Saccharomyces cerevisiae S288C: one gene and its partners. Changing the gene in region 4 together with the main gene of any one other region gives a genetic interaction. Each region holds a gene or a part of one and is shown on either strand. Other genes may lie near its edges.

Evidence for each region.
Region 1: mutations in HOL1 (region 4) and PTC2 together harm fitness more than expected from each alone (negative genetic interaction), as found in Saccharomyces cerevisiae (2 studies listed by BioGRID).
Region 2: mutations in HOL1 (region 4) and SGF29 together harm fitness more than expected from each alone (negative genetic interaction), as found in Saccharomyces cerevisiae (2 studies listed by BioGRID).
Region 3: mutations in HOL1 (region 4) and SPE1 together harm fitness more than expected from each alone (negative genetic interaction), as found in Saccharomyces cerevisiae (3 studies listed by BioGRID, with this or other methods).

The regions. Positions count from the first base shown.
Region 1 is NC_001137.3:333,221-340,919, reverse strand, and holds PTC2 (type 2C protein phosphatase PTC2), read left to right. Parts: upstream 1-3,579; coding exon 3,580-4,974; downstream 4,975-7,699. Other genes in the region: MET6 (5-methyltetrahydropteroyltriglutamate-homocysteine S-methyltransferase), read left to right, coding at 1-1,056; anthranilate synthase TRP2, read right to left, coding at 1,448-2,971; DOT6 (Dot6p), read left to right, coding at 5,732-7,699. UniProt on the Saccharomyces cerevisiae protein: Dephosphorylating regulator for many key proteins. Dephosphorylates the cell cycle master regulator CDC28/cyclin-dependent kinase 1; its activity appears redundant with phosphatase PTC3.
Region 2 is NC_001135.5:99,064-105,988, forward strand, and holds SGF29 (Sgf29p), read right to left. Parts: upstream 5,288-6,925; coding exon 4,508-5,287; downstream 1-4,507. Other genes in the region: BUD3 (Bud3p), read left to right, coding at 1-2,128; YCL012C (uncharacterized protein), read right to left, coding at 2,254-2,570, 2,638-2,725; GBP2 (single-stranded telomeric DNA-binding/mRNA-binding protein), read right to left, coding at 3,012-4,295; ILV6 (acetolactate synthase regulatory subunit), read right to left, coding at 5,556-6,485; ubiquitin-binding ESCRT-I subunit protein STP22, read right to left, coding at 6,633-6,925. UniProt on the Saccharomyces cerevisiae protein: Chromatin reader component of the transcription coactivator SAGA complex. SAGA acts as a general cofactor required for essentially all RNA polymerase II transcription.
Region 3 is NC_001143.9:92,072-99,953, reverse strand, and holds SPE1 (ornithine decarboxylase SPE1), read right to left. Parts: upstream 3,198-7,882; coding exon 1,797-3,197; downstream 1-1,796. Other genes in the region: LOT5 (Lot5p), read right to left, coding at 313-1,233; YKL183C-A (uncharacterized protein), read left to right, coding at 1,347-1,559; DNA-binding transcription repressor ASH1, read right to left, coding at 3,689-5,455; MTR2 (Mtr2p), read left to right, coding at 6,656-7,210. UniProt on the Saccharomyces cerevisiae protein: Catalyzes the first and rate-limiting step of polyamine biosynthesis that converts ornithine into putrescine, which is the precursor for the polyamines, spermidine and spermine.
Region 4 is NC_001146.8:726,335-734,583, forward strand, and holds HOL1 (Hol1p), read right to left. Parts: upstream 3,853-8,249; coding exon 2,092-3,852; downstream 1-2,091. Other genes in the region: BIO5 (Bio5p), read right to left, coding at 5,284-6,969; BIO4 (dethiobiotin synthase), read right to left, coding at 7,022-7,735; BIO3 (adenosylmethionine-8-amino-7-oxononanoate transaminase), read left to right, coding at 7,957-8,249. UniProt on the Saccharomyces cerevisiae protein: Seems to be involved in the uptake of several cations and of histidinol.

The DNA of each region.
Region 1 (7,699 bases), on a different chromosome or scaffold from region 4:
TCTACTAGAGCAGCTCCATTTGAACAAAGATTGCCTGAACAACAAAAAGTCTTCAACTTGCCATTGTTCCCAACAACAACTATTGGTTCCTTCCCTCAAACCAAGGACATCAGAATTAACAGAAACAAATTCAACAAGGGCACCATCTCTGCTGAAGAATATGAAAAATTCATCAATTCTGAAATTGAAAAGGTCATCAGATTCCAAGAAGAAATTGGTTTGGATGTCTTAGTCCACGGTGAACCAGAAAGAAACGATATGGTTCAATACTTCGGTGAACAAATCAACGGTTATGCTTTCACTGTTAACGGTTGGGTTCAATCTTACGGTTCCAGATATGTCAGACCACCAATTATTGTTGGTGACTTGTCCAGACCAAAGGCTATGTCCGTCAAGGAATCTGTTTACGCTCAATCCATCACTTCTAAGCCAGTAAAGGGTATGTTGACTGGTCCAATTACCTGTTTGAGATGGTCTTTCCCAAGAGACGATGTCGACCAAAAAACTCAAGCTATGCAATTAGCTTTGGCTTTGAGAGATGAAGTCAATGATTTGGAAGCTGCCGGTATCAAGGTTATCCAAGTTGATGAACCAGCTTTAAGAGAAGGTTTACCATTGAGAGAAGGTACTGAGAGATCTGCTTACTACACCTGGGCTGCCGAAGCTTTCAGAGTTGCTACTTCTGGTGTTGCTAACAAGACTCAAATACACTCTCATTTCTGTTACTCTGACTTGGATCCAAACCATATCAAGGCTTTGGATGCTGATGTTGTTTCCATCGAATTCTCTAAGAAGGACGATGCTAACTACATTGCTGAATTCAAAAACTATCCAAACCACATTGGTCTAGGTTTATTCGATATTCATTCTCCAAGAATTCCATCAAAGGATGAATTTATCGCCAAGATTTCAACCATCTTGAAGAGCTACCCAGCTGAAAAGTTCTGGGTTAACCCAGATTGTGGTTTGAAGACTAGAGGCTGGGAAGAAACTAGATTGTCTTTGACTCATATGGTCGAAGCCGCCAAGTACTTCCGTGAACAATACAAGAATTAAGGTTTTAAAAAGGAAGCAAAGTAATGATATTTTCTGAACTTTTTGTTTTTTATTCTGGGATTCAACATCGGTGATTTAATTTTTGTGTTCACATTTAAAAGTTTATTTGGGTAATTTTTTGATATCAATTTTATTACAAAGCCATAACTCTTGCATTTTTTTTATTATATTTTTATATACACGTACATTCTGTATTATTTATAACGCATTCAACATTCGTTTTCTAAAATTTCCTATATTTTTTGAACAAAAATTTTTTGGTTGTAAGTCGGACCAAATGTATATGTCGAAAGAATAATACTTTTCAGGATCCTGCTATACATCATTATATCATATTATTCGAAAACTATAAAAATGTCGTCTAAGGGGAAAAAAACAGAGAATGCCCTTTTTAAGCTGATCCTACGATATCGGCCCACAATTCTTCTGCTTGCACAATAGTACTGTGATTGGCCATCATTTTATTCATGGTTTCGACATATTCATCGTACTCATCTGAATCGTAAACAATACCACCGCCAGCTTGCAAGTAAGCAATGCCATCTTTATAGACCATAGTCCTTAAAGCGATACAATTGTCCATTGTTTTACCGTCGTATGACCAATGACCTACGGCGCCTGCATAAACCCCACGCCTTTCTCCTTCTAGTTCGGCAATCAATTCCATGGCTCTAACCTTTGGAGCACCACTGACAGTACCTGCAGGGAAAATCGATCTGAATGCATCAAATCTTGTCTTTTCTGGGCGGAGAACACCGCTGACTTGAGAAACCAGATGTTGGACATGAGAAAATTTTTGAATAGTTAACAGTTTATCGACACTTGTTGTTAATGGGTCACAAATTCTGTTAATATCGTTTCTTGCTAAATCTACCAGCATAACATGTTCTGCACGGTCTTTTAACGAGCCACGTAATTGGTCCGCTAAAGCATCATCCTCTTCAGTAGTAGCCCCACGTTTGACAGTACCAGCAATTGGATGGGTAATGACTCTATTTTTGGAATCCGATTTGCACAACAATTCTGGAGATGCACCAATGATTTGGAAATCCAAACAATCAATATAAAACAGGTAAGGAGATGGGTTCACTGTACGTAAATGTCTGTAAATATTGAAAGGATGTAACGAAGTTGGCCTTGCCACTCTTTGCGATGGCACACCTTGAATAATATCACCTTTCTTAATATGCTTCTTCAAAGTGGAGACGTGATTTTCGTAACCTTCCTTGCCCACATTCGATTCAAAAGTTTGATTCAATTTAATAGGAGGTTGTTCTGGATATGGTATTGGCGAGGAATCGTCGGTTAGCTTTGATACGATATCAGTGATTATTTGTGCTGCAGCTTGGTAACCTTCCTCCAACGAAGTTTCATTGGTATTAATGTTATGAATGATTTGAAATCTCTGAAAAACATTATCAAAGGCAATAATGGTATCACAAAGCATTAAATATGCCTCTGGAAGTCTTAGGACATCTTTCAAAGGCCTTCTTGTTTTTGGCTCGAAATAACGAACACAGTCATAAGAAATATAACCAATAGCACCACCACTTAATTTCGGTAAACCAGGAACATTTTCGGCTACTTTAAAGGTAGACATCTCCTTTTCCAAAATTTCCAAAGGATCTGTTTCAATGCCTTCAGTAGGACCGGTTTTGATGGTCTTGCGTGGCGAGATACCTATGAATGAATAACGATCTAATTCATTATTTGTCTTAGCACTTTCCAACAGAAATGATTCCTTTCTATCAGGGTTGTTCAATTGTGCCAATTTTAGATATGCCACGTGAGGAGTCAGATCCAATGATGGCAAATACGCATACACGGGATACATATTTATGGAACTATCGTCATTTTGCTGCTGTAATTGCTTTAGAGAGTCAATATCCGGTTGAATTTTGATGGAAGCGGTCATTTTTTGCCTTTTTTCCAATCAGAATATCAGTGCTAATTATCGATTGTGGCCTCGGTTTTAAAGTGATGATTGCCTTCTGCTACGATGGACCATAGCCCTTTAGTCATGTTAATATATCAAAATCTAACAATACTTCGATGAGTGAAAAATCGTAATGAGTCAGCAAATCACTGTGTACGTTAATGCCTTTAACAACTTTTTTTTTCCCACAAACTACTTCAACGATTGAAAGGATTATTCTAAAAAAAAAAATATCATGCTGATAAATGGAAGGGGATGGTAAAACAAAGAAAACCAGCCAATTCGGATTCTGACAGAGCAAATTGAAACTGGATATTATAGTGCTAAGTATATAGACTTCTGTTTTGTTCTTTAAAACTAAATAAAAAAAATTCACCCTCCTCCCCACGGAATAAAACTACAACAAGTTCTGTTATCAAGGACAATTAGTGTATATTAGTTGTTGTAACATTTTTTACTTTCTCTTTTTTTTTTTCATTGATTAATTATAACTATTCGTTCGAGATAGTAGTTTTCCGATTAATAACATCCCTAGGATTTTGACTATTCCATTGTTGTATAAAATATAGAGAACCAGAAAAAGAAAAATGGGACAAATTCTATCAAACCCGGTAATTGATAAAGAGAGCCACTCCGGTGCTGACTCCTTGACCGCGTTTGGACTGTGTGCAATGCAAGGGTGGCGGATGTCAATGGAGGATTCACACATTCTAGAGCCTAATGTTTTGACAAAGTCCGATAAGGACCATATTGCATTTTACGGTATATTCGATGGTCATGGTGGCGCTAAAGTAGCAGAATACTGTGGTAATAAAATAGTGGAGATCCTGCAAGAGCAGAAATCGTTCCATGAAGGAAATTTACCAAGGGCTTTGATTGATACTTTCATAAACACAGACGTGAAACTGTTACAAGATCCTGTGATGAAAGAAGACCATAGCGGATGTACGGCTACATCCATATTAGTATCAAAGTCCCAGAACTTGTTAGTATGTGGTAACGCTGGTGACAGTAGAACCGTACTCGCCACCGACGGGAACGCAAAGGCATTATCATACGATCACAAGCCCACTCTAGCAAGCGAAAAATCACGTATTGTGGCAGCTGATGGCTTCGTAGAAATGGATAGGGTCAACGGTAACTTGGCGCTCTCTCGTGCCATTGGTGATTTTGAGTTCAAATCCAACCCCAAATTGGGCCCCGAGGAGCAAATAGTGACATGTGTTCCGGACATTCTCGAGCATTCTCTAGATTACGATAGGGACGAGTTTGTAATCTTAGCCTGTGATGGTATCTGGGATTGTTTGACTTCCCAAGATTGTGTGGACTTGGTTCATCTCGGCCTTCGCGAAGGCAAGACATTGAATGAAATTTCTTCGCGGATCATCGATGTCTGTTGTGCTCCCACCACAGAGGGGACGGGTATTGGATGCGACAACATGAGTATAGTGGTTGTCGCGCTGCTGAAAGAAGGTGAAGACGTCGCTCAATGGAGCGACCGTATGAAGTCCAAGGCCCACCGCACATCAGTGCGTTCTTTTGCAGACAAGAGAAGAAGGGTGTTTAGTTACTACGATTTTTCCAAATGTAACGACGAACAGGTGTTCGCTATCACTACGAAGAAACCTCAGGACAAATTCACTCGCGACCACGAAGCCGCTGTGGCCTCGGTGACTGCCGCCGATAACGACGATCCAATGGACATAGACGACACGGACGCTGACACAGATGCAGAAAATCTTGACCCTTCCAGCCAATCCAAGAGCAAGACCTCCGGCCCCATTGATCTAGCATCCTTGGAGGCGCTACTTGGTGCTACAGGAGGAGTGAAGACAGACAGCAACGGGAACAAAGTCACCTACACTCTTCCCCAGTCTGCCTTGGCCCAACTGCTCCAAACCATGGGCCATGACCCGGCTTCCTCCCATCCCGAGAATGACAGTAACACTGACCACAAGGCCGGCCGTTCCCACTTGCAATGAAGGATCTTCCATCCTTCATTATATATACATACCTATATACGAACCGAACGAACAGAAAGAGAAGAGAAGACGCAAGACACCACCAGAACCAAGAGCATACACCACTACCACCACCATCGCTACCAACAGCAGGATATCCGGATGCAGTTTGACGCTTGAAGATGGTATTCACCTCAGGGGTAAACGCGCAGAAACTGCGCGTTTACCTGCAGCGACGCCACAAAAACGGACCGGCCCGGCCAGAGGGTGAGACCAGCAGCGGCCCCGTTGTGAAATCTCACCCCCAGTCCCGGATGGGCACGAGTCCCCAGCGCCCGTCCCATGAGGTCCTCCTAAGGTAGACAGCGCGGATGTTTCCGATGCAAAGGAGAAAGGATGGACGGTACAGACATCGTAGACAGGATTCGCGCATTGCCTTGCACATCTGTGCCCCATCCAATCTACCGTATCTATTGTTATCGTCGTGTGTGCTACTCTTTTCTCCGACAGCCTCGACAAGACGGAATCAGAAAGTGCACACAGTTTAAAAAGGAAAAAAACCGAGTACAACAAAAACAGGGACAGGTTTTGAAAAGTGTTCTTTTCTTTGCATCTTCTCTATTTCTTCTCTCTTTCGTCCTGTTTGGTATCTTGTTGTATTTTTTCTCTCTTTTGTAGTATATTTATCCGTGTTTCCTCCTTTTCACAGTCAGTTCATCCGACCTCATCGAATAGCTTCCGTGCACGTTCCAGTCTTCCCTCCCTTCTCTGCTCCGTGATGTCCATTTCAACCAGTTTGAACTCAGCTTCCATTCATTTGAGCAGCATGGACACCCATCCTCAGCTACACTCACTCACTCGTCAGCCACACTCGTCGTCAACAGCTATGTCCAAGAACGAAGCCCAGGAATCTTCGCCCTCTCTGCCAGCTTCCTCTTCATCGTCGACTTCGGCATCGGCATCTGCGTCTTCCAAGAATTCGAGCAAGAACCCTTCCTCTTGGGACCCTCAAGATGATCTGCTGCTACGTCATTTAAAGGAGGTCAAGAAAATGGGCTGGAAGGATATTTCGCAATACTTCCCAAACAGGACTCCTAACGCGTGTCAGTTCAGATGGAGAAGGTTGAAGTCTGGTAACTTGAAGTCGAACAAGACTGCTTTGATCGACATCAACACCTATACGGGCCCACTCAAGATCACCCACGGCGATGAGACTGCCAACGCTCAGCAAAAGCCCAGCAAGAAGGTAGAAGAAAACGTATTAACGGAAGATACTGCTGAGTTCACTACAACGTCATCCATCCCGATTCCCTCCAGAAAGACCTCGTTGCCTTCGTTTCACGCATCGATGTCATTTTCTCAATCTCCGTCCAATGTGACTCCCACTACGATTGTCTCAAACGCTGCTTCTTCCATGCCGTTCGCTCCTCCCACGCTGCCGGCCGCACTCCCTCATCATCCTCATCAACACCTACACCACCATCCCCATCATAAGACTCTAAAGCCAAGGTCAAACTCTCACTCCTTCACCAATTCTTTGAACCAAGACCCCATCGTTCGGTCTAATGATGAGGAGAAGTATGGATTCATTCCTAAAGTATTCGTTAGATCCAGAAGAAGTTCGTTTGCCTATCCACAACAGGTAGCAATAACCACTACTCCGTCTTCTCCAAACTCTTCGCATGTCTTACTAAGCTCAAAGTCAAGAAGGGGCTCGCTTGCGAATTGGTCCAGAAGATCATCGTTTAATGTTTCAAGTAACAACACTTCAAGACGGTCTTCAATGATTCTTGCACCAAATTCCGTGTCAAACATATTCAATGTCAACAATAGCGGCAGTAACACTGCTTCTACTTCTAATACCAACTCAAGAAGGGAATCTGTCATCAAGAAGGAATTTCAGCAAAGATTAAACAACTTAAGTAACAGTGGAGGTCCTACCTCCAACAACGGGCCCATTTTCCCCAACTCTTATACCTTTATGGATCTCCCACATTCTTCATCGGTGTCATCGTCATCCACTTTGCATAAGTCTAAACGAGGTTCGTTTTCTGGCCATTCTATGAAGTCATCGTGTAATCCGACTAATCTATGGTCAAAAGATGAAGACGCTTTGCTAATGGAAAACAAAAAGAGAAACCTATCCGTTATGGAACTATCCATTCTTTTGCCGCAGAGAACTGAGGTGGAAATTCAATGGAGATTAAACGCCTTGTCAAGTGATGCGGATATGTTGTCTCCTACACATTCACCTCAAAAAACTCTGTCCAAGAAAACTTGTCCAAGAATGTTCAAAAGTGGTTCTACCACTGATGATGACAAAGGTAGCGACAAAGAGGACGTTATGGGTGATGGTAGTAACGATGATGACGAAGATAATGTAGACCCGCTGCACCGTGCTAAACAATCCAGTAACAAGACTGTCTTTTCATCCAGCAGTTCCAACATATCCTCCAAAGACGTTTCACCGGATCCGATCTTTTCACCGGATCCCGCAGATGATTCATCGAATACTTCTGATGCTGGTTCTAGGTGCACCATAACCTCCGATACCAGCTCCTCGGCTGCAACCATGAATCGCACCCCTAATTCCAAAAACCCGCAAGATATTGCTTTGTTAAACAACTTTCGTTCTGAAGCCATTACTCCGAGACCGAAGCCTTCTTCCACAACTACATCCATCACTACCGAAACCACCAATAACATGATAAACCACTCTAGTTCTACAACTACTACCACAAACAAC
Region 2 (6,925 bases), on a different chromosome or scaffold from region 4:
AGTTGAATTCAAATCTGATGACTTGATCGGAAAACCACCTGATGTTGGAAATGGCGCACATCCTCAAGAAAATACCAGAATATCTTCAGTAGTAAGGGATACAAAATATGTCTCCTACAATCCCTCTCAGCCTGTGACAGAAAATACCAGTAACGAAAAAAATGTCGAACCAAAAGCGGATCAATCCACAAAGCAGGATAACATTTCCAATTTTGCAGATGTAGAGGTATCTGCGTCTTCTTATCCTGAAAAACTTGATGCAGAAACAGATGATCAAATAATTGGGAAGGCGACGAATTCGTCATCAGTTCATGGAAATAAAGAGCTGCCAGACCTTGCTGAGGTGACTACAGCAAATAGGGTTTCTACAACATCGGCTGGGGACCAACGTATTGATACCCAAAGCGAATTTTTACGTGCAGCTGATGTTGAAAACTTAAGTGATGACGATGAACACAGACAGAATGAAAGTAGAGTTTTTAACGATGACCTCTTTGGTGATTTTATTCCTAAGCATTACCGTAATAAACAGGAGAACATTAACAGCTCGAGTAATTTGTTTCCAGAGGGAAAGGTGCCCCAAGAAAAGGGCGTATCAAATGAAAACACTAACATATCTCTCAAAACTAATGAAGATGCATCTACATTGACGCAGAAACTCTCTCCACAAGCGAGTAAAGTGCTGACAGAAAATTCTAATGAATTAAAAGATACCAACAATGAAGGGAAGGACGCAAAGGACATAAAATTAGGAGATGATTACAGTGATAAAGAAACAGCGAAAGAAATAACTAAACCAAAAAATTTTGTTGAAGGAATAACTGAACGGAAAGAAATATTCCCCACTATTCCTAGGTTAGCGCCGCCAGCTTCAAAAATTAACTTTCAAAGGTCACCATCCTATATTGAGCTCTTTCAAGGAATGAGGGTGGTTTTAGATAAGCATGATGCCCATTATAACTGGAAACGCTTGGCTAGTCAAGTCTCCTTAAGTGAGGGACTAAAAGTCAATACTGAGGAAGATGCGGCAATTATAAATAAAAGTCAGGATGATGCCAAGGCGGAAAGAATGACTCAAATTTCTGAAGTGATTGAGTATGAAATGCAGCAACCTATCCCAACTTATTTGCCTAAGGCGCATCTAGATGACTCGGGTATTGAAAAAAGTGATGACAAATTCTTCGAAATTGAAGAAGAACTTAAGGAAGAATTGAAGGGCAGCAAAACCGGTAATGAAGATGTCGGTAATAATAATCCATCCAATTCTATTCCAAAAATCGAGAAGCCCCCAGCATTCAAAGTTATTAGAACATCGCCTGTGAGAATTATCGGAAGGACTTTTGAAGACACTAGAAAATATGAAAATGGCTCTCCATCTGATATTTCGTTCACTTATGATACTCACAACAATGATGAACCTGACAAAAGGCTGATGGAATTAAAATTTCCATCCCAAGATGAAATTCCGGATGACAGATTCTATACTCCAGCAGAGGAACCCACTGCTGAATTTCCGGTGGAAGAACTTCCAAATACTCCGCGAAGTATTAACGTTACAACTTCAAATAACAAGAGCACAGACGATAAGTTGAGTAGCGGTAATATTGATCAAAAACCTACCGAACTGTTAGATGATTTAGAATTCAGTTCATTTAATATAGCATTTGGAAATACCTCCATGAGTACTGACAATATGAAAATATCATCCGACTTAAGTTCGAATAAAACCGTGTTAGGAAATGCTCAGAAAGTTCAAGAGTCTCCTAGTGGACCATTAATCTATGTTTTGCCTCAGAGTAGCACAAAGCATGAGAAAGAGGGGTTCCTTCGAAAGAAACAAAAAGACGAGCCCATTTGGGTTTCCCCTAGCAAAATTGACTTTGCTGATCTAAGTAGGAGAACTAAAGCATTGACGCCAGAGCGTAATACTGTTCCTTTGAAAAACAACGACAGTAGAAAATACAAATATACTGGAGAGGGATCTATCGGTAATATGACAAATATGCTGTTAACTAAAGATGCTTCGTACGCGTACTTAAAAGATTTTGTTGCGTTGAGTGACGATGAAGATGAAGATGGGAAACAGAACTGCGCTGTTGGTGGCCCAGAGAAACTGAAATTTTATTGAGTGTTTTATTGATTTTTTTTTTCTTTTTAATTTAATGCAATGTATACATTTACATAAAATATGGACAAATAAGAAAAAGGGGGAAAAACCTCCCACTTAAGTAAAACTGAATATATTAGATACCTTTACCTACTATCAAAGGTGAATGCTTTTGGATCAATAGGGGTTCCATCGGGGGCAATACCATTTTGGCCGAACTTTCTTTCCATATATAATAGTCTAGCCTTATCGAAATCTACATTATCGTTTTCCATAATTTGTTTAATCTCATTCTTGGAGACATCATCCAAACCACCTCTTACGTCGTTGCTATTCTCCGAGATAATATCGAAATTCCTGGAATGGAGACCGTTTTCTAGGTCATCAGCAAAGGAATCATTTAAACGTATATGTCTATTAAAACGTAATTGTATTCTTGAACGCAGTGCACGAAATTTGTCGGCTATTACAGCTGTTAGTATTTAGATACGGTTTGCACTTTGCATTTTCAAATGCTTAAATATACATACCAACTTTGGTTTTCCGGTGTGCCATAAGAAGGCATAAAGACAATAGCACAACCCAGAGGAGCAATTTGAGATAGAACAAACTCTTCATACTCGTATTTGCAATTTTTGGAAATTAATTGTGTAGCTTTTCTTCTCTTAATTGGTGGCAGTTTTTATATATTCAGTTTAGAATACCCTTTTTTTTTTTTTTTTTTTCTTCGCTTTTCGCATCTCATCGCTGGAAGTGGTGCTCTTTTACAGGGATTAAATAAGGTTATTCTTTTTGGTCAAAATGATAAATATAACTATTAAAGTTATTTATAACCCGCCCGCTTCCTTATTATTTATACGTTATCATAAAGTACACAGGTCATGGTTCGGTTGGTGCTTAGGAATTAATCACGTCTAGCATAAGAGATCTGTAAACTACAACCACCATAATTATAATTATTTAATTTTTGAATACAAAAATCTGCATCTACTAAATTTTCATATTCTACAACAGCAACACCAGTTGGTTGACCATTTTCCTGTGGTTTCAATTCCGCGTTATTGATTTTGCCGATAGGCCCAAACAAGTCGAATAAATCGCTTCTTGCTGTTGAGAATGGTAAATTACTACAATAAATGAAACAGTTTCTATCCCCTCCTGGATTGACACCTTCAGTAAATTTTGCTGCAGTTTCATCAATGTGGACAGCGGCATCCTGCGCAAGACCTGGTTCAGTACCTCTGGTATCTTCAAGGTCCTCACGCCTTTGATTATAACGATCATTGTTCTTTCTCTTGTTGAAACGCCCTTCTCTAACTTCCAAAACTCTACCTTCTACTTCCATGCCGTTGAATGTATCGATAGCTCTAATCATTTCATCCTCAGTAGGATAAATGACAGAACCGAATCCTCTTGAAAATCCGTTGAAATCCAATTCTACATCGGCACGCAAGACATGACCACATTCTTTAAACATATCTTTTAAGGATTGCCAATTCATAGAGTACGGTAAATTGATGATGAACACTTCAAACCCATTATCTATTTCTTCCCTAGTAGCTTTCTTAGAAAATTCCTTGGCAGCTTCAGGAGGAGGATTATCCTGTCTTACCATTAGTTTCCGGTCCATAAAGAGGGCACCATCAAACTTCGATATGGCATCTTGGACAGATTCGTTTTTGGTAAATTCCACAGTCCCCATACCACGGTGATGGCCCTTTGATGTGATAATGTCAGCCTCCACAACTTCGCCCACTGTACCAAACAATTCCTTAAGGTCTTCAGGGGTACAATCAAAAGTCAAGTTTCTCACGAAGATACTATTTTCAAAATTTCTCTTGGTCGCGTCAAATTGCCTTTCTAAGTCTCTTTCAACAATTGGACCTAAAGTACGACCCCTACCGCCACCGCGTCCCCCTCTGAATGATCTGCTTCCTCCTCTGCCACGGCCTCCTCGGCGAGGGGGCCAGTTCCTATCATCGTGGTAGCGGCTGCCACCATAACTCTGATCGTACCGATCATTGAAACGGGAGCCTCGGTCGCGTCTCTGACGACGACTGCCATTACCATTATTACTGCTACTATCGTTATAATCATCGTACCTGTCTCTGTCGTCGCTCAAACGACGACGTACAGGTGATCTTGATCTACTCCTATCATTTCCATACATCCCTAGCTCTCTCTCCATCTTGGCGAAAAAATCCAGCTGATGTTTGTTTCCTTTTCGCCCATAGCTTATTTCTAATGGGAAATCCTCAATATAATTGATTTCATCCAAGCTTTCATTTTTTTTCAATTTTTTTCACCTTCAAGTGAATACATCACTTCCGACGATACCAAAATAATGACAAAATGCCATGAGAAGATCTTATGATATGTAGTAAATGTTAACCACCATTGCTATTTCCTTGCTAGGTTTGCCAAAGCCGTTGGCGAAGGCAGCACTAGACGGCGAGTCACTTCCGTCTCTTTGTCCACTTCCTCTTCACCATCAAATCGAAGCCTGCAAGTGCCGTCCCTCTTGGTTCCGATGACAATTGCAGGATAAAAAGTGGTCGTTTCAGGATATCTTGCCAGAACCTTAGTACCTGGCGGGTAGTTCTTAGTGGGAAAGCCTGGCGGGATCAACAGTAGTTCTTTCCGATTACATTTATACACCTTGCCTGAGTTGCCCAATTCATCAGGTTCAGGATCTCTCACTTCAAATCGTGTACCATCTGCTACGACTTTGAGTACTTCACACTGTATCCATTCGCCGTCGGCACTGCCCCTTCTGGGCTTATAGGCAACCTCTGAGCCCACCAAAATAGGTGCATTTGGGTTGTATTCGCTGGTCCAGTACGATCTGCCAACTTTCCCCACAGCTTTCTTGCCCTGCGACAATGCCATGCGTGTCCCTTCTCCTTCTTCTGCATCTTCAGTATTTTCCTCACTCTTTTCCTCTCGTGACTGATTCAACATCAACGACAAATTGGAACGTACATTGTCAAGGATTCGGTGCACTCTGTTGACGTTTTCCATGTGTTCTTGGAAAGTGTTGAGATGCAATTGCAGCTGATCCTTTGACATATTAAGGAAATTTAGTTTTTTTGTTTGCAGCTCATCATCAAAGGGAATGACCTCGTTGGCATTGTATATGTCTTGCAAGGACGACACTACAACATCCCAATATCCGTCCATAATAAGAAAGGTGACCGTGTGTTTTGCTGTGAAAAACTCCCCCCACTTAGAGAAGCCACCAAGGTATTGTGTCTTTAACCTTTTTCGTATCTGGCAAAATCGAAGAGGAAAGCAGAAAACCAAAAGAAAAAAATAGTTTAGTAACGCGTCACCTCGTACAAACGTACAATCATAGCAACTTATGAGTAAATAGGCTCATGGTTATAGATACGTTATATAGATGTATAGAGGAGAGTCCCGAGGGCGATCGCAAGGCCGAGAGACTAACCTAACCAGGTGGTAGTTGGGAAATGTCGACGATTTCGCTGATCTTTTCGTCTTCGTCGGCAGCTTCCTCGGTGCTTGTCTTCAAAGGAGTTCTTGGCAATGCCATCATACCGCTTCTTGCACACTCTAGGACACCGAATGGCTCGACCAACTTCAAGAAGGCAGAGATACGTGTGGGTTTTGCAGACAACTCCACAATACAGCTTGTTTCGCTGATGTCGACGACACGACCTCCAAAGTTGTTGGTCAAGTTGGTGATATCGTTCAAATGCTCGTGCTTCAACCTTAATACCTCACTGGCGGGCAAGTTGGCAGGGTGGAATTGCTTTTCTCTGATTTCGGCGACCAATTCTTGGGAGTCAGCGGCGCCAGCATTGGTGGAAGTGTGGTGGTGCAATAGTAGGTCTTCGAAGTATTCAGTACCCAATAGAGAGATTCTGGCCATCACTAGCTCTCTTTTGATGATCTCAGAATTGGTATAGTCTAGGACGGCGTAGACGGGGACCAAGTCTTCGATTTGTCTGCGTGCTTGTTCGACTACGCCATCTTGCCCTTGCAAAACAATGGTCATTCTACTTAGGTCTTTGACCTCGGTGTTGCACACGACCAACGAATCGATGTTAAAGCCTCTGGCAGCTAACGTACCCGAGACTCTGGACAAGACACCGGGTTCGTTTTGCACCAAACAGTTCAAGACATGCTGTTTTCTTGGTTGACGAGAAGGCGCTGGTGTTTCGTAAATGATGGATGAAACGGCACTGTTGGCATTCCAGGAAGGAGTGTCTAGTGTGGGCAAGGGAGGTCTTGTTGCGTGTCTGTGCATCTGCTTGTACGCCAACGCGGAGGTCGACGAGGAACTGCAACGCACCATGGTAGCACATGAAGAAGCAACCACCCTGCGGTGGCCGCTTTGCAATAACGATCTCAGCATTAGAAAGACTGGGTTAGTGAGCTCAGATGTTCTAAAGATTCTGTATATACGAACTATGTACTTCCATATATACCATTCCCCGTTCTTGTTAGGTAAAGGTTAAAAAAATATTTTTTATGGCACTTCGGCGATGCGAAAGAAAGTGAGTCACGATAACGGTGAGGTGATTCGTTGGATGTGCCATCGCACAAGGAATTGCTGGCGTGCTAATTCACGACCTTGCTTGACAAAAGTATCGAGGGGAATGGTGCCACGGTGCAGCATCCTAGATAAGCACTCAATGGTGTCCGTGAGAGCGTAGTCCTGGGCAACGAGGTTGTATAGTTGATTGAGTCCATCTGTTTTGGCCACTGCTATGGAGTTCACGTCCTCGTCATCCACATGCGAAGTTGAGCTAAACTGTTGGACTTTGGCCCTATTTGCGGTCAGGACGTCTATCT
Region 3 (7,882 bases), on a different chromosome or scaffold from region 4:
TCGTTTGTTGGAGGCCAGGGGAGTAGTGAACCGTGCCTGCACCTCGTGTATCGTGATGCGGAGCAGACGCTGCTATAACCCGGCCTCCGAGGAGCCGTGGGTGCACGGGCATGGAAGGCTGATGCGGACCTTCTACGGGTTTTTTCACATGCTGCCGTTTGCTGAAACATCTTAACTAAGCCTTCGCGCGGCCATACGGGCCCTCAAGACATTCATTACTTGGTATAGAAAGGTATATACGAAGGCAAATAGCCATATTCGTAGAGGACGAGACCGCATAGTACAGCGGGATGTTCCCATAATAGATGTTGTTCATTCATTGTCTCTGGAGTTCTTTCTGCCAGCAAGATTTTGATTTGCGTAGAACTCCATAGACATACTTGCTTCTGGACCACCCCTAGAGACCACGTTGTCCATAACGAGGTCGCCATCCAGATCGTCTGCCAGCCCGTCGTTCTGATACACGGGCGGCCCGTGAAGGGTGTCTCCAAGCCCAGAATACGTGGCGTTGAGATCTTGCGCACCCTCAAACGCCATGCTTGGATCTTGGTATTGTTCCTGGTCTTGATCTTGTACGTCCTCACCGTGCAGGTCCATGCATACGGCTAGTGCTTCGTTACAATTGTTTACCAGGTCATCGCCCCTGTTCACGCCGAAGTTTTCGAAGGTGAAAAGGGTTTCGATTTCGTTGTTATAATGGCGATCGTATATTGAATATTTGGGCCTGATAGTCAATTCCACGCTGCGCACGGTGAAGGCATGTGCTTCTTCGCCGTCGAATTCGCAGGCCTGTGGCGCGAGGCTTTGGTAGAGCATGTCCAACACTTCGTCTCTTTCCAAAGTCAGCAAAATTTCTAATTGAAGCCCTTCCCTACCATCTGGTAGCCGTCTTGATGCATGGTACAAAACGCTGCTGTAGGGAATTTCCAGCCCATATCCCAAGCCATTGAACCAAATGATAATGCAGCTGTTGAGTATAAACAGGTCTGTGCCATACTCACTGGTGTCTTGTGGGTTGGCTTGATTGGACAAATGAGAGCTCGAACAAGGTGTCAGGGAGCCTAGTATCAGGTCCCGACCTCCGCCAAAGAGTATTATGTATTCTTCATTATTCAGTGCAGAAAAGTTGCCGTTGAATCGCGGCTGCGTCTTCTTGAATTGGTTATATGGTATGACGTTTTCGACCGATGGTTTGGTCCTTGCAATTTGGCACTTTGGTTTTTTTTTCATCATTTTTCTTTTTATTTTATGGTTGATGCTTCTTTTGAAATAAATATTCGTCTATCACTGTAGCTATGGTCTATCTTGGCCTGTGTTGAAGTATGGTGAACAATCCGAAGTAATGGATGTATTCAAAGATCTTGCTATACCGTAGTAACGTTCTGTTCATGAACTTTTTCTCTGTTTTTGTATGTACAATTGGTACTTTATTTTTGGTTTTCGCAGATGTCTATGTTCTTGCGTCGGCATTTTTCCAAAGTAAAAAGGAAAAAGAGACAAAGTTTAAGCATTTACACTACCAAAAAAGATCTTGTTTCTTTCTAGCAAATATACACTAAACATAAAAAAAAATTATAAAAAATTGTAAAAAAAATATAAAAAAATACTTTTGTGTACAATGGCGTACAGTGGTGGACAGGAAAAATGCCAGAATTTTCTTGAATCATCATTCTCTGACTCTTAAATAGCGTGTATAACTCGTTCATGAACACTCAAATTCTTAGTGACAATGGTTGCATTCAGCCTTTTCCCACCCCCTCCGTCTCTCTTGCGAAAGTCGTGGTTAAATATATCCTTCAATCGAGTTCAGAGTCTATGTATACTATATCCGCAGTCTGCTCAAAGCCGTTGAATTGAGTAGCCGCCGATGATGTGTAGGCACCCAGGGCAGGAAAATAAAACCAATCACCGACTATAACATCATGCTTCATGTAATACTCTTTGGCAATACAATCCAAACCATCACATGTGGGTCCCCAGATGGAAACTTTATATGGATACTCAGATCTTGTTTTGTTGATAGAGTCGAGGACCGCAGTAGTGGATTCAAAATCGTCGTAATGAAATTCCAAATTATGATAAAGGGTTCTTGGATGGGGCTCTTGATGATCGAATAAAATACAATTCATGTTCCCGTATACACCATCGTTAGTGTAAATCATTGCTTCATTCTCAGACAGTTTTCTCTTCGCAATCACATGAGATGCCAAAGTGAACGCTGTAGCTACAAAGTATCTGCCAGGCTCTGCAATTATATCAACACCACAACCTACAGGGAAAAATTCCTCTAGCGCTAGACGCAAAACAGCAGTTGATTCTTTGAAGGATTCAAATTGAAATCCACCACCTACATCCAAAATCTTCAAAGGGGGCAACCCGTATTCGTTAGCAGCTTTGTCAAATACCGTTCTTGCATCTCTAACGGCTTTGTATAAGCTTGTAAAATCAGAAGCGCCTGAACCGACGTGGAAAGAAACACCAGCCAGGTTTAAACCTAGTTCCTTTATAGCCTTTAATAAAACGTCTACGTTTTCCATTTCACAGCCATATTTGGTGGAAAGTCGACATTGAGCGGTAGAGTCATCGGTAGCGATTCTTAATAACAACTGAGACTCAGGATGAAACTTTTTGATTTTATGCAATTCTTCTACATTGTCAAAAGTAGACTTCATTACATTTTTTGAAGCTGCATATCTAATGAAAGATGCTACTTTACAAGGATTAGCGTAAACAATTCTATCCGGCGAGATGTTCATCGATAATACTCTGTCAATTTCCACTTTGGAAGCGCAATCGAAATTAACGCCCAACTCTGCTAATAATGACAAAACCTTGGTATCAGGATTACATTTGACGGCATAAAATGGCTTAATTCTAGGAAGCTCCTTCACCCAGTTGTTGAATAATCTCTTGACTTCTCCCAAATCGCATATGAAAAACGAGTTCTCCTCACCGGGGTCGCACGTTTCATTATTAATTCTACCAATACGAGCCTTGAGCGCTTGAAATATTTTAGGATGCGCTTGTTCATGCGGTAAAAGTTCCAAATCTTGGTTATTCTTTAGTTCAAGCAAAAGATTGTGCAGCGTCTCGCCATCTTTATAATATTGCTTCTTTTGGGTAACCGTAGAATTAGACAAGTCCACTAAAGTAGTAGTGGAACTAGATAGAGCATTTCCTACTTGAGTACTAGACATAGTAAGTTTGAAATTCAAAGGTTTTGATTACTATGAAAAAGTTGTAGAACAATCAAAAAATCTTACCTACTTAAACTTGAAACAAAAGCCGTGCTGAAACCTGGATGATAAACCAAGGAACGAAAAGTTCTTCTGTCCTTTCTATTAACTACACTATTATGATTGAATTTTAAGCTTATTAGAAGCAGGTTCCGCTATTTCAGTGCAATAAATGCTTTTCATTTTCGATTTCAGAATAAAAATCAGGATGACCAATCTATTGCGCAGGAGAAGTTATTAGAATGATTTCACTTCGAAATGGGCGAAAATATCTGCACGGCGCAGATTAAAATTAATCGGTGAAGAAAACGAAGATGCCGCGGCGTGTCGAATGAAAATGAAAGAAAATGAATTTTTATTTGTAGTTTATTTAGCACAGACAAGGAGAGAAATGTACAATTGTTTCGTGATAATGTCTCTTATTAGTTGAAAGAGATTCAGTTATCCATGTATCAATTCTCTACTGTCTCAGTTATGTAATTACAAAATAAGCAACGGTACCCTTCAATTTCGCAGTTGCGTTCGGGGACGAATTCTTTGTCTATTCCATTGGATTTCATAATGTTTATTTCACCCTTTGTGGGGATCTTACGACATAAATCGTTCAAACATCTTGTATGTGTTTTTTTATATCGAAGACCACAAGAGTTACATAGCTGATCTTGCTTTCTTGGCGACCACGATGGCCTCCAACAGGGCGAATCACTCGAATGACACGACACGCACACTCTTGTGGTGTGACGAGTGGGTGATGAGCCACTGGACCTTCTACTTCCCTTTTTCGTTATGCTTGAATTTGATGATCTTCGAGGGCTTTGAGGGGGAGAGTCGAGAGCAAATCTATGATAATTGGGTGACCTTGGGCTTGGAGTGTATGCCTTGGGACGCACAGGTGAGGATGATCTTGATCTCATCTTGCCACTTTTCGTCGGTGTGGAGGGAGATGGAGATGAAGATGCAGAGACAGAACTGTAACTAGCGTTGTCGAGTTTCATCACCAATTGTCTTGCAGTGTTACCGAAAACATTTGATGCTTGCTTTGAGATTTTGTTCTTAGATGGTTTCCTTACATTAGATTTGGAATTGTTCGATAGAATGTCTCTATTCGCAAGCAATTTTTTTATTTGCAAAGCTTTGAAACTGTTCGTCTTTTTGTGACTGGCATTTGGCATGGGAAATGAATTTCCACGTAATTGTCTTTGATGTTTAACTTCTTGAACCAATTTTTCACTAATAATTGGATTGAATATTGAATCGTTATTGCTGGATTTCCCCTCAAAAAAAGAGGCCTCTACTCCTCTAAGCGTCGTGCGCTCCATGGTTCTATTGGTTGGTGGACTCATCGGCGGTGTGACGGGAGGAGTAATACTCCATGCATTGTTGGAAAGATCTTTAAATTGATCTTTAGCTTCTAGAATCGAAGGAATTAGTTTGGTACGATCAAATGATTCCTTAGACGGGGAATGGAACTTGGACGACCTAGTCGATTCCAATTCCTTGCCGTAATTGAAACTATCATTATTTTGATTATTAGTTAAGTTGGGTATACTTAATGGCTTGAAATGAGCCACTTCTTCGCGTATTTTAACATAGTCTTGATAGTTTGTATCCTTACACCAATGGGTAAGATCAGTTTTCCAATTAGATGTACGTTTTGATGTATCAGGGAAGCGTGCTGCGTTTTCTTGTAAAAGAGGACTGGGTAATAATTGCAGATGCCTTAGTGATGGTAGGCTTTGTTGTGGGCGCTCCGGTCTCTTAGATAAAGAGACGGACGATAGCCTGTCTAACAATGGTAGTCGAGGTTGTGAATTAGAGGAAAAACCTAAGCCAGACCCATAGTTCAATGGATTTGTAAAACTAATCTGAGATAAGCTTGCCTTGTTGAATTCTGGTGAATTGCCTGGTGTTAATGAGGAAATTGGATTGTAATCCATATGATGTGGCGATGCTGGTGCAGTATTTGATTTTTTTCCAAGTATTTCGTTAGCCAAAGATATTGGGGAAAGAATTGGCGACACATTGAGCGAATGAAACGAATACTTCCTAGGACTTGCTGAATTTATATTGTTATCGGTTGTGATATTGTTCCTGCTGATATTACTGGATAAATTGGAAAATGAAGGCAATAAAAGATTGTCATAATAGGAGCTATTTGCATGAGAATCCGGACCAGCAGATAATGCATGCAGTGGTGTTTTGATGTATAAGCTTGACATTTTTTTGCTTTTCCCGTTATGAGAAATGTTTTTTTTAGACTGAAAATAAAAGAATGGATAGTATTAAAATAGTAATGAACGTAATAAGGATAGGACAGGAGCGATAGGAAAAGATAGAATTTTGGAGCTTTTTTTCCCTCTTTTTTTGAGCAGGAGCCAATAGTAGTCGGAAAGATGAGTGTATAGATTTTTCGTATTTTATTTCGAGTAAAAATATCACGCTCTTAGGTTCAATAAAAGAATATACTATTTCTTCAAAATGCTTCTCTAATCTATTTTTTTATTTTCCTTAATAACTGAAATATTATTTTTTGATGTAAAATGAGTGAACAAGAATAAAGGATTTTTGGTATGTTTGCAAGTTCTGTGGAGTTCCATGTATAAGGTATACATATTAGAAAAGCTTTACGATTATATACTAACATCATGTACAAAACAGTTTAATAATGATCTGTATTGCTGGCTCAATCCACGTAAGGAAAATGATCAGCCCAATCCTCAAAAATAAAATGGCCCTTCCAAAATTAGAGACATATCGTAGAAATCAGACGCACGCTTGGCGTCAATATCCTAAAACGGAAAACTAATCAGTTAGATGTGTCTTTTTTAGGTAAAAAAAGGCAACCAACTTTTTGCTGGCTAGCGATGCGACAATAAACGCGCGCAGCGAATAAAAATAAGATGGCGGAGGAGCAGAGACTTCTTTTCTTAGAAGAGGTTTTGTTACCGTATGGGGGTATGATGGTTAGATGGCTGAATAAAAACGTTAATTAAAGGAATACAGAAGAGGAAGCGCCCCGATTTCTTTTCTGTTCCACATGAAAGCAGCCGGTTGGGTGGTAGATCTCTAATGACATCCAAACTACAAAACCGAGATTGGACATATAGCACACTCTGCATTTCTACTTTCCTTTCTCCCTACAGTTTGCTCGATCTGAACCGATGCTTCTTTGATTGGACAAGATGATAGACCATGACTCCCTGTATGTATTGCAGAGATTGCCACTACTAACCAAGAAAAGTTGAACGTGTCGTACGTATAAAACGATTTATGCTTAGGCTTTACTGAAAAAAAAAAAGTAAAAAGAGGATGCGCAAACGCATAGAGCAAGTAACTAACCTGTTTTTATAGTATATACTTGGCCCCACCAGGCTGATCGTCAGGCAAAACGCCAAACTAATAACAGTAATAACAGAAATATGAACACCAATAGTAATACTATGGTAATGAATGACGCAAATCAAGCACAAATAACGGCCACATTTACGAAGAAGATATTAGCGCATTTGGATGATCCGGACTCCAACAAATTGGCCCAATTCGTACAGCTTTTTAATCCAAACAACTGCAGAATAATATTTAATGCTACCCCCTTCGCGCAAGCAACAGTTTTTCTGCAAATGTGGCAAAACCAGGTCGTACAAACACAACATGCCCTAACAGGAGTAGACTATCACGCTATTCCGGGATCCGGCACGTTGATATGCAACGTCAATTGCAAAGTCAGATTCGACGAAAGCGGCAGAGACAAGATGGGGCAAGACGCGACTGTTCCCATTCAACCAAATAACACTGGGAACAGAAATCGACCCAACGATATGAACAAGCCAAGACCTCTATGGGGTCCATATTTTGGCATTTCCCTGCAGCTGATCATCGACGACCGCATATTTAGAAATGATTTTAATGGTGTAATATCGGGGTTTAACTATAACATGGTTTACAAACCCGAGGATTCTCTGCTAAAAATTTAGTGGGAAGATTCCGCTCTACCAGGGAAAAACAAAATTATATAGAAAAGAAGGTAAGTAATAAGTAATACGAAAAAACCCAAAAAAAAAATTCAAATACCCCAACCCTGTGCCCTTTCTATTTTTATGGTTGAAAAGGTTACAGAGGATCCTCTGGAGCGGTGACAACAGTTGACGCAATCATGGTCCCTGGCGGTCCCTAAGGATATCTCGGAGGAACCGAGGCACGGAAACGGCTGCACGGGTACGCCAGATAAGGATAATTCAGCCGTCACGCATGAACAGAAGGATGAGCATTTGCTCACCTTCCTGGACTTAACTTGCGTGAATGAAAAGAAGAACACCAATGTTAGAGTAGGGCTTCGCACCAAACTTTAATCAAGAAATCTGAGGAGAAATGATTCTAAGTCTAGCCACGAAAACTGCAAAGCGCACCAAAAGTAAGAAACGACAAAGTTTTTCTAGCATTTTTTTGTTTCATCAAGAGAAGAAACACGATTTATATAACTGTTACCGCTAAAACCTACATCTAAACTTTTTAATATCTGAAAGCGCTAGTCGTGTGTACCCCCCTCAACTGATCAACTGGTCAACGAGCTTTACTTGTGGAAGTTCATGGCAAACGCTCCTTGGCTTTTGCCTAGTCTTGTTCTATGGCACATTTTTCTGTTGAGT
Region 4 (8,249 bases):
ACAAAACCCGTCCTTCCCTAGCTGAACTACCCAAAAGTATAAATGCCTGAACAATTAGTTTAGATCCGAGATTCCGCGCTTCCACCACTTAGCATGATTCATATTTTATATAATATATAAGATAAGTAACATTCCGTGAATTAATCTGATAAACTGTTTTGACAACTGGTTACTTCCCTAAGACTGTTTATATTAGGATTGTCAAGACACTCCGGTATTACTCGAGCCCGTAATACAACACTTTTTATCGTATTTCAGGTAGTATACCACATCATTATTTGAAGAGTGGGTGAGTTTTGAGATAATTGTTGGGATTCCATTGTGATTAAGGCTATAATATTAGGTATGTAGATATACTAGAAGTTCTCCTCGAGGATTTAGGAATCCATAAAAGGGAATCTGCAATTCTACACAATTCTATAAATATTATTATCATCATTTTATATGTTAATATTCATTGATCCTATTACATTATCAATCCTTGCGTTTCAGCTTCCACTAATTTAGATGACTATTTCTCATCATTTGCGTCATCTTCTAACACCGTATATGATAATATACTAGTAACGTAAATACTAGTTAGTAGATGATAGTTGATTTTTATTCCAACATTATTGTACTCAGCAATTGTTGCGAAACAGACAAGATTAAGTATATTATTCAAGGCCTTGCTTACCTAGATGAACCATTGAGAAATATACATATTGAGCAATACCTCTAGGTCCGAAGTTCCGTGCCTACACCCTTTAGTCAGATTTAGATTATATGAGATAAGTGGTATTTTGTGGACCAAGTTTGTGATTAATCTGATATCAAGTTACTTTCTTAACGACATTAGGACGCCAGGGTAGCCAGTATTATTCAAGTCCATAGAACAGCCTGTATACCTTCACTTCATTAGGTATATTCTTGGTTATGCGTTATTTAAATCCTCATCTGCCGCTGCTTAAAAAAAGCAGCTAAAGTGTTGCGTAGGCACTTCGAACAAGTAGTCAGTAATATCACCTTTTAACATCTAATCATCAAAAGAGACATTTTTTGGGATTAATTGTTTATAAAAGCTATGAACTTAGGTCTACAGAATGTACCAAAAGTTATCCTGTAGGATATAGGAATCTACGAAAGGGGCCCGATACTTCTATATAATATATATTTTTATTTCTCCTTCAATTTTATACGTTGTCATTCCTTATCCTATTACTTCATCAATTCTTGCAATTCAACATCCAATAACTTTGATAACTGTTTCCCATCAATTATGTCGTCATTTTACACTGTATATGATACAAGTAGTATGAGTACACACCAATAGATGATTAATTTTTTCCGACAATCAAATATTGGGATCATAAACACACATAATCGCCATATCCGTTAATTCGGGTTTCAATCACTTCGTTTGTCTATCGTATCGCAGCCTAGTGAATATTTAATTCTTTCAATAAAAAAGGCTTAAAATCACCATGAAAATCACAAGAGGAATCTTTCAACAAGAACAATAGTATACAATCCATGAATGAAGGAGTTCATATTTGACTAGAACTATACAAAGGTTTTGTACTGTTTTTACTGTGAGGGTAGCATCTCATTTATCCAGAATCTCAGAAGGGAGAAACCCAATCGCTAAATCGATATTATCACCCAGAAGTTTCAAATAGGCGATTGTAGAATATACACAGGGACAACCACTCAGTTTATGGCTTCAGTGCGCGCCCAGTTCTGGAGGAAAGCATTATCGAAGTAATAAAACTTTAAAAAAGCTCTCCGCAACTAATGAGGATTGCAGTATCCAGATACCCTTGTTTTCTGCCAAATGAACACTTTTACTATGTCATATAAACAAAAAGTGCCATTTCTTGGTACTGCTTCAGTCTTAGGAATGGTCAATACGTTATTATTACTTAAATATACGATTAATAACATGCTCTGTTGCGTATTTAGTAAGTGTGTAAGGAAACTGTAATATTACCTAACCGGTATCCCACGTGTTTCACGAAGGGCGCTTTTGTTGTTGCAATTATAATCCTAGTTAGGTAAAAAAAAAATACTTAATTCCTATCATCTACTAGATACAAGAAAGACGTCTCTGAATTACACACCGTCTCTCAAATTGACAGATTGCAAATACCATCTCTTAGTCCAAAGTCTTATCCTCTTACCATAGTAGTACATTGGTAAAGCAAATGCAGTAATCCCAAAGTTGATGACAGCTAAAGCAATGTAAGTATTTTCAGTACCAGATGCAGCTAGCCAATCAGAACAGGTAAAGGTGAAAATGCAAGATATCGTGTTGTTAATAATAGCAGTACAAACCATACCTTCCAAAACCATATCGGGGTAACAATCCATTAAATACGCCATCGCAATATCACCAGAACAACCCCATGCAAACCCAACAAAACCCAACCCGACGTATATAGCTTGCCAAGGCCATTGTCTAGCGGTACCGATACCAAACATCAGCAAACCCGCTGGCCCAATAATTGCAGTTGCGATAGAGAAGTATAGTCTAAATTCTGCCTCTAAAATTCCTCTATTGTGACGAGCCATCCAAAGAACAAAGTAGTCACTAACAATGCCAGCACAGATACAACCGATGACTGCTCCAATAAGTGTGGGAACATTCATAATTGCGACACCAAAATCACTATAGTTCCATGGAGGTTCGTAGTAGGCGCTTTCTTGAGTGGTCAAATAAAACGTCAGGAAAACGTCTTGAATACCCCAAAACATACCAGACAACCACACTGGCGGGAATAAGAACATTCTAAGGTTGATCTTTAGATATTTGAAATACTGTTTAAAACCGTAGCCTTTCAAATTAGTAGCTTTGGTTAATATTGCTACTCTTTTTGGGTATGGTTTCAAATGCTCTTTTGAACCATCAATCAATTCGCGAGTCTCAGGTATGGTAACTTCCTCTTCATTGTTAACTTCGAATTCAGCCGTCTCTGAAAGGTCTACACCTTTCTCACCCATGGCTCCAGGAGTTGATAATTTAGCGTCAAGATGACGTTTCCTGCGCGACACGGCCGTATTGTCAGAGTTTTGTAAAGTGGTACCGTCTTCGTATCCCGATTGACAGCTGGTCAAAGGGGTCATATACTGGCCTCTGTCGAAGTACGTTTCTTCGCAGCCAAATATAATAGTTATTAAAAGGCCACCAGATATGATCACTGCGACCCAACCGACCCAACGGAAGTTGGTAAATGCAGATATGTACCCAGCGATCAATGGGCCCAAGAACGTACCGATACTAGTGCACATGATATACACGGTCAATACGGAGCCCAATTGGTGCTGGAAAAAAATGTCGCTCAGGGACAGTTGCACCTGGGCTTCAGCACAGGACTCACTAATACCTACAAACAACTGAGACCATATTGTGTCGCTCGTTCTTTTGGCCAAAGCAAACCAAAGCGCACCAAAGAGACCTAATGTGGTGCAAACTATGTACGTAATCTTCCTGCCATACAAGTTAGCAAATGGAGCCAAGAATAAAGTGGACCAACCAATACCTAGGAAAAGAACACCAGCCCCTGTGTTCATGGAATCGTAGGATATCCCATAAATCTCATTCAATGAGTCTTGAGCAGCACCAGCGTCGTTACTAGTAGCGGCGGTAAACGCAGTTATAAAGGCCATTAGACCAAAATGAGCCAATTTCCTCCAGCTAGACCAGTTCAGTGGATCATTTGGCGAGTATGATGGTTGAGGGATTAGGACGACTCCTGAGGAGGTTTTCTTCAATTTTGATTCGTATATAATACCATTTTCCAAATTTTGGGAAGAATAGATGTTAAATGTGCCAGGAATATAGTCCGGATGATCCCTGTTGGTATATTTGTCCATCTGTTAAAAATTTAAGATTCACACTCGCAAACTTTCTTCTATAGTAGTTCTTTTCTTTATATTCGTTAGAAATGCAAAAGTTGCGAAGCTGTTTTGTTATATCCTGTAGATTGTAATATGATACTTCGATTCTTTCGGATTTAGTGTTTACTTGCTATTCTTCTAGTTTCAAATAAATAAGATAATAAGGGATGTCAACTTGGTAGTAATAGCATGAAATAGTATCGTAAAATTAAGGATGCTAGCGCTTTCGACAACAAAATGGGCTTGTTTTATTTTTGCAGAGGAGGTTCAGTAAATATTACCTCAGAGACTGATACAGATAATTCTTTCTTATTCGACTGCGTATTTATCTTTATCGTTTAGATTGAAGACAATAGACAATTAAATGAATCTATAGAAAGGTTAGGAAATAGTCTAAACTACTATGGTTTGTTAACGGCGAGGTCTTTAGTTTAATTTTCTGTCTGGAAAATAACTTTATCCTAAAAAGAAAATTTTCATCAACTGCAACTTTTTTTGTTATGCTTTTGTTCTCGCTAGGCGAAAGCTCCCTAAAAATATCCGTAGAATTTCATATGACACAACCAGGCCTTGATGTAAACGTCAAACTACACATTTCTCAAAGCTTAGAGAGCTGATGCATGAAATTTTTGCATTGTGTGGTATTATATGTGACTTAAGAAAGTAATTGTACATCATAAGAGAGAAAAATTCTGTTCAGAGAAGAACTATTTGAATATATTTTAAAAGATAAAAAAATGTCTTGGCAAAAATAAGTAAGTAATGAAAAAGAAATTTTCTCGAAGAAAAAAATGAAAAAAATGACTAAGTACTCAATATCCTTGATTTTCTAGTTTTCATTTTCCTCAAAAAAACTTGTCCACATTCATTCTCTGAATCGTTCTTCTTTGGTATATACTATCATGCGAATACGTCTTTTTTCTTTTGATATTAAAATATCTACAGACTATTTTGTGCACCTATAAAATAAATTTTGTCATGACTTGTAATTTTCCCATAATCGGGACTATTTAAGGACCAAAAATACACTTTCGCCCAACTTGCTGCTTGACCAGGACTTTCGATAATCTCCTAATTACACTAGCTAGTTTTTACTTGTTATGGTTTGTGCAGTTGAGATAGCTCAGTAAAATGGCTTTATGTGTTCTGATCTTATAATGAATCGTAATCGAAATCCACATATTTCATTCATACTGACGGAGAATAGGTTAAGCGCTGCTGCTATGGTACCTACTTTTACTCTTTGTGGTGTGCGATTAGTTTTGTAATACAAGGGTACTTCTGGTAATAAATATACAATTATTTTATGAAACTATGATACAGGAGGGCAGAAGTTCTGACGATAGAGCTACAAAAGGTAGTATCGACCTAGGAATTTATAAGGACTGTTTTTCTTTCAACAGCATCTTAGATGCATGTAGGGAAAACAACGATGCTGATAATGCAGAAAACTACTGCATACACTACTGAGGTGTAATTCATGTTTCCTGCAGTAACCGGTAGTGTATATGGGAAAGATAAAAATACCAGGCAGAACAAGGTCCATAGAATACATATAATATGAGGAATCATAGACATACGACGACGGTTAGGCCTGCTGACACAATTTACGTCACTCTCGATTCTATGAATGAATTTTTCCTTTTTAATAACGAACAGGAATATAAAAGAAGGAACTGCGTACGACATTAGTAACAGGGTGATGCATGCAGTGATAATTGCGTTGAAAGCGGTACTAGATCCCATAAATATACAGCCAATTATCGTTACACATATTTGTGACAAAAAATGGGCATATAATGGAGACTTAAACCCAGGTGTCAACACTGCTAGCTTCTTCAAGGATTTGTTTCCCAAGGAACCCTCTTTATAAAATGGTGCGTAACTTTTCCCGAATGATTGGAGGATTCGACTTTGCCAGGTTCCACTTGCAATGCCTGAAACAAAACCTGTTGTGATACACATACATTGCAGGAAGACACTGAGATTCCTATTACCAGTGGCCTGGTAAAATATTTCTACGATAGGTAAAATAGACTCAACGACTGCCGTTTGGTCAGTGATGCAGAAAAACAAACCAACGCAATAAATAAAACTAGTTACAAAGCCCACAATGATGGTAGTGATAATAACTTTGGGAACTAAGAAACGTGACTTACTATAACCCACTTCATCAATCATGTGCGTAGCAGAGTCAATGCCAACAAATGCCCAGATCGGATTGACCAAACCGACAACAAACGCCATTCCAGACGAATTCCAGCCTGTTTGATTATCAAAGCTCCCAAATATATTAGAAGCTTTGGGCCATGGGTCTACGGTGTTGTCAGATCTTGAAACAATACAAATAATGAAAGTCATGGCGAAAGACAATAGAGACGTATAGAGCCCAAACTGAGAGATATAGGGCAACGGAGTTGAATAAATGTTGAAAAGTGTCAAAACGGCATTGATACACTCGTAACCCACAAAAACATGCCAGTGCTTTAACTCGTAGTCCGGATGCAACAACTTATGAATACCGATACAGCTCATTGACAAAGATGAGCAGATACTTGCGGTAGTAAAAATGGCACCGAAATAGTTCAGCAACCCTACAACCATGGAAGAAACCTTTTGAAATTTAGAAGAAACTTCCACGTTGAAAGTTTGACAATAATTCTCGAGGAACACTTCTTCATCATCGTCAGAAGGGTCCTCGTACTCAGGGGTTTTCAAAGTGACTGATTCTTGTTCCAACATTTTAAGAACCCAAAATGAACCACCGCTGCTGTTTGGCAGGATAGCAGCAAAATCTCCCAGAGATATACCACACATGAGACTGAAAAAAGCAGCAATTATCAACCCATAGATGATAAGCAGTGGCCCTCCACTGGCAATACCAACGGCCATCGACGCTGAGATACCGACCCATGAGCAACTTAATGAGAACGCGATACCTAATAGGGACCACCAATTAAAGTGCTTGTCAAACTTGACTTCTGACCTTTCTGAACTAGACATTCTTATTTCCGTCCTGTGACGATCTGGAACAATAGACAAAAAAAAATTTCTTTCATATACAAATAGGAACACTGCCCCTACTCTGTTCATACCATGCTACTTATATATAGCTGATGAAAGCCTTGCAACTTTTTTATTTAAACTATTCTACGTCTTGTTGGGTCATTAATGACTCCACCGATGGCAGTTCATGCAACTCCATATCCTGATCATGTGCCGTAGTACATTGTGCAACCTGTGCCATAATATTGACACCGAACTTCTTCAGGGCCTGCACGTTGCCTTCATTCGGTTCCCCATTGAGAATGACCCCAAAAAGGTGGCTTCTCAAGCCATTATCGCAAAGATGATTCCAAGTCAGCAATGTATGATTCAGAGTCCCTAGCCCGCTGCGTGCCACGACAACTACGTACACTGGATGGCCGCTAGTCTCAATCAGATGTTTAATTAGATCCGTCGTAATTTCCAATTTACGAGTGATAGGAACGCAAACCCCGCCGGCTCCTTCTACGACCAATGGATTCTCTGCGCTCCACTCTTCAGGAACTACGAAATCCAACAACCTGATGTCGACATTAGGTTCGTACTCCATGGCCTGGAGCGGAGATAGAGGCTTCTGCAGCGCATAAGTGGGCGTGAATATAGGTGGTTGCCAAGTTGATGCGGCTATTTTGAAATTTTTCAATGTCTCGGAGTCACCTTGATCTGACTCAATTCCAGTTTGTACGGGTTTCCAGTATGCAGCTTTCCATTTGTGTACCAATAATGTTGATACAAAGGTTTTACCAACATCAGTGTCTGTACCGGTGACGAATACAATTGGTTGTTGTTCTTGTTGTTGAGATTTGCTGTTCATGACCTGTGCGCTAGTGATTTTTTGAGTTCTTTTCACTGGCCTACTTGTGGAAAAAAGTATATCTCTTTATATACTTCAGTAAACGAACTACCAGCGGGATTTTATTTTGTTTTGCCCAATAATTTTGAATTATAAATAGCCATTGTTTGTATATTTCATTTTCTTTTGGTCGGGAGGATGTCAACAGCGCAATTCGTTTTCTATTGCTAGGATAACAACTAATGTCCCAAGAAATTTCATATACACCAGATGTCGCGGAACTGCTAGACTTTGATAAAAAACATATTTGGCATCCTTATACGTCATTGAGTTCACCATTGAACGTTTATCCGGTAAAGAGTGCTCACGGATGCAAGCTGGTGTTGGATACCGACTCACCAGTGGACGTCGAGGTGATCGACGCCATGTCGTCGTGGTGGTGTGTTATTCACGGGTACAATAATCCAGAACTAAATGAGGCCCTTACCAAGCAGATGTTAAAGTTTTCTCACGTCCTTCTTGGTGGATTCACCCA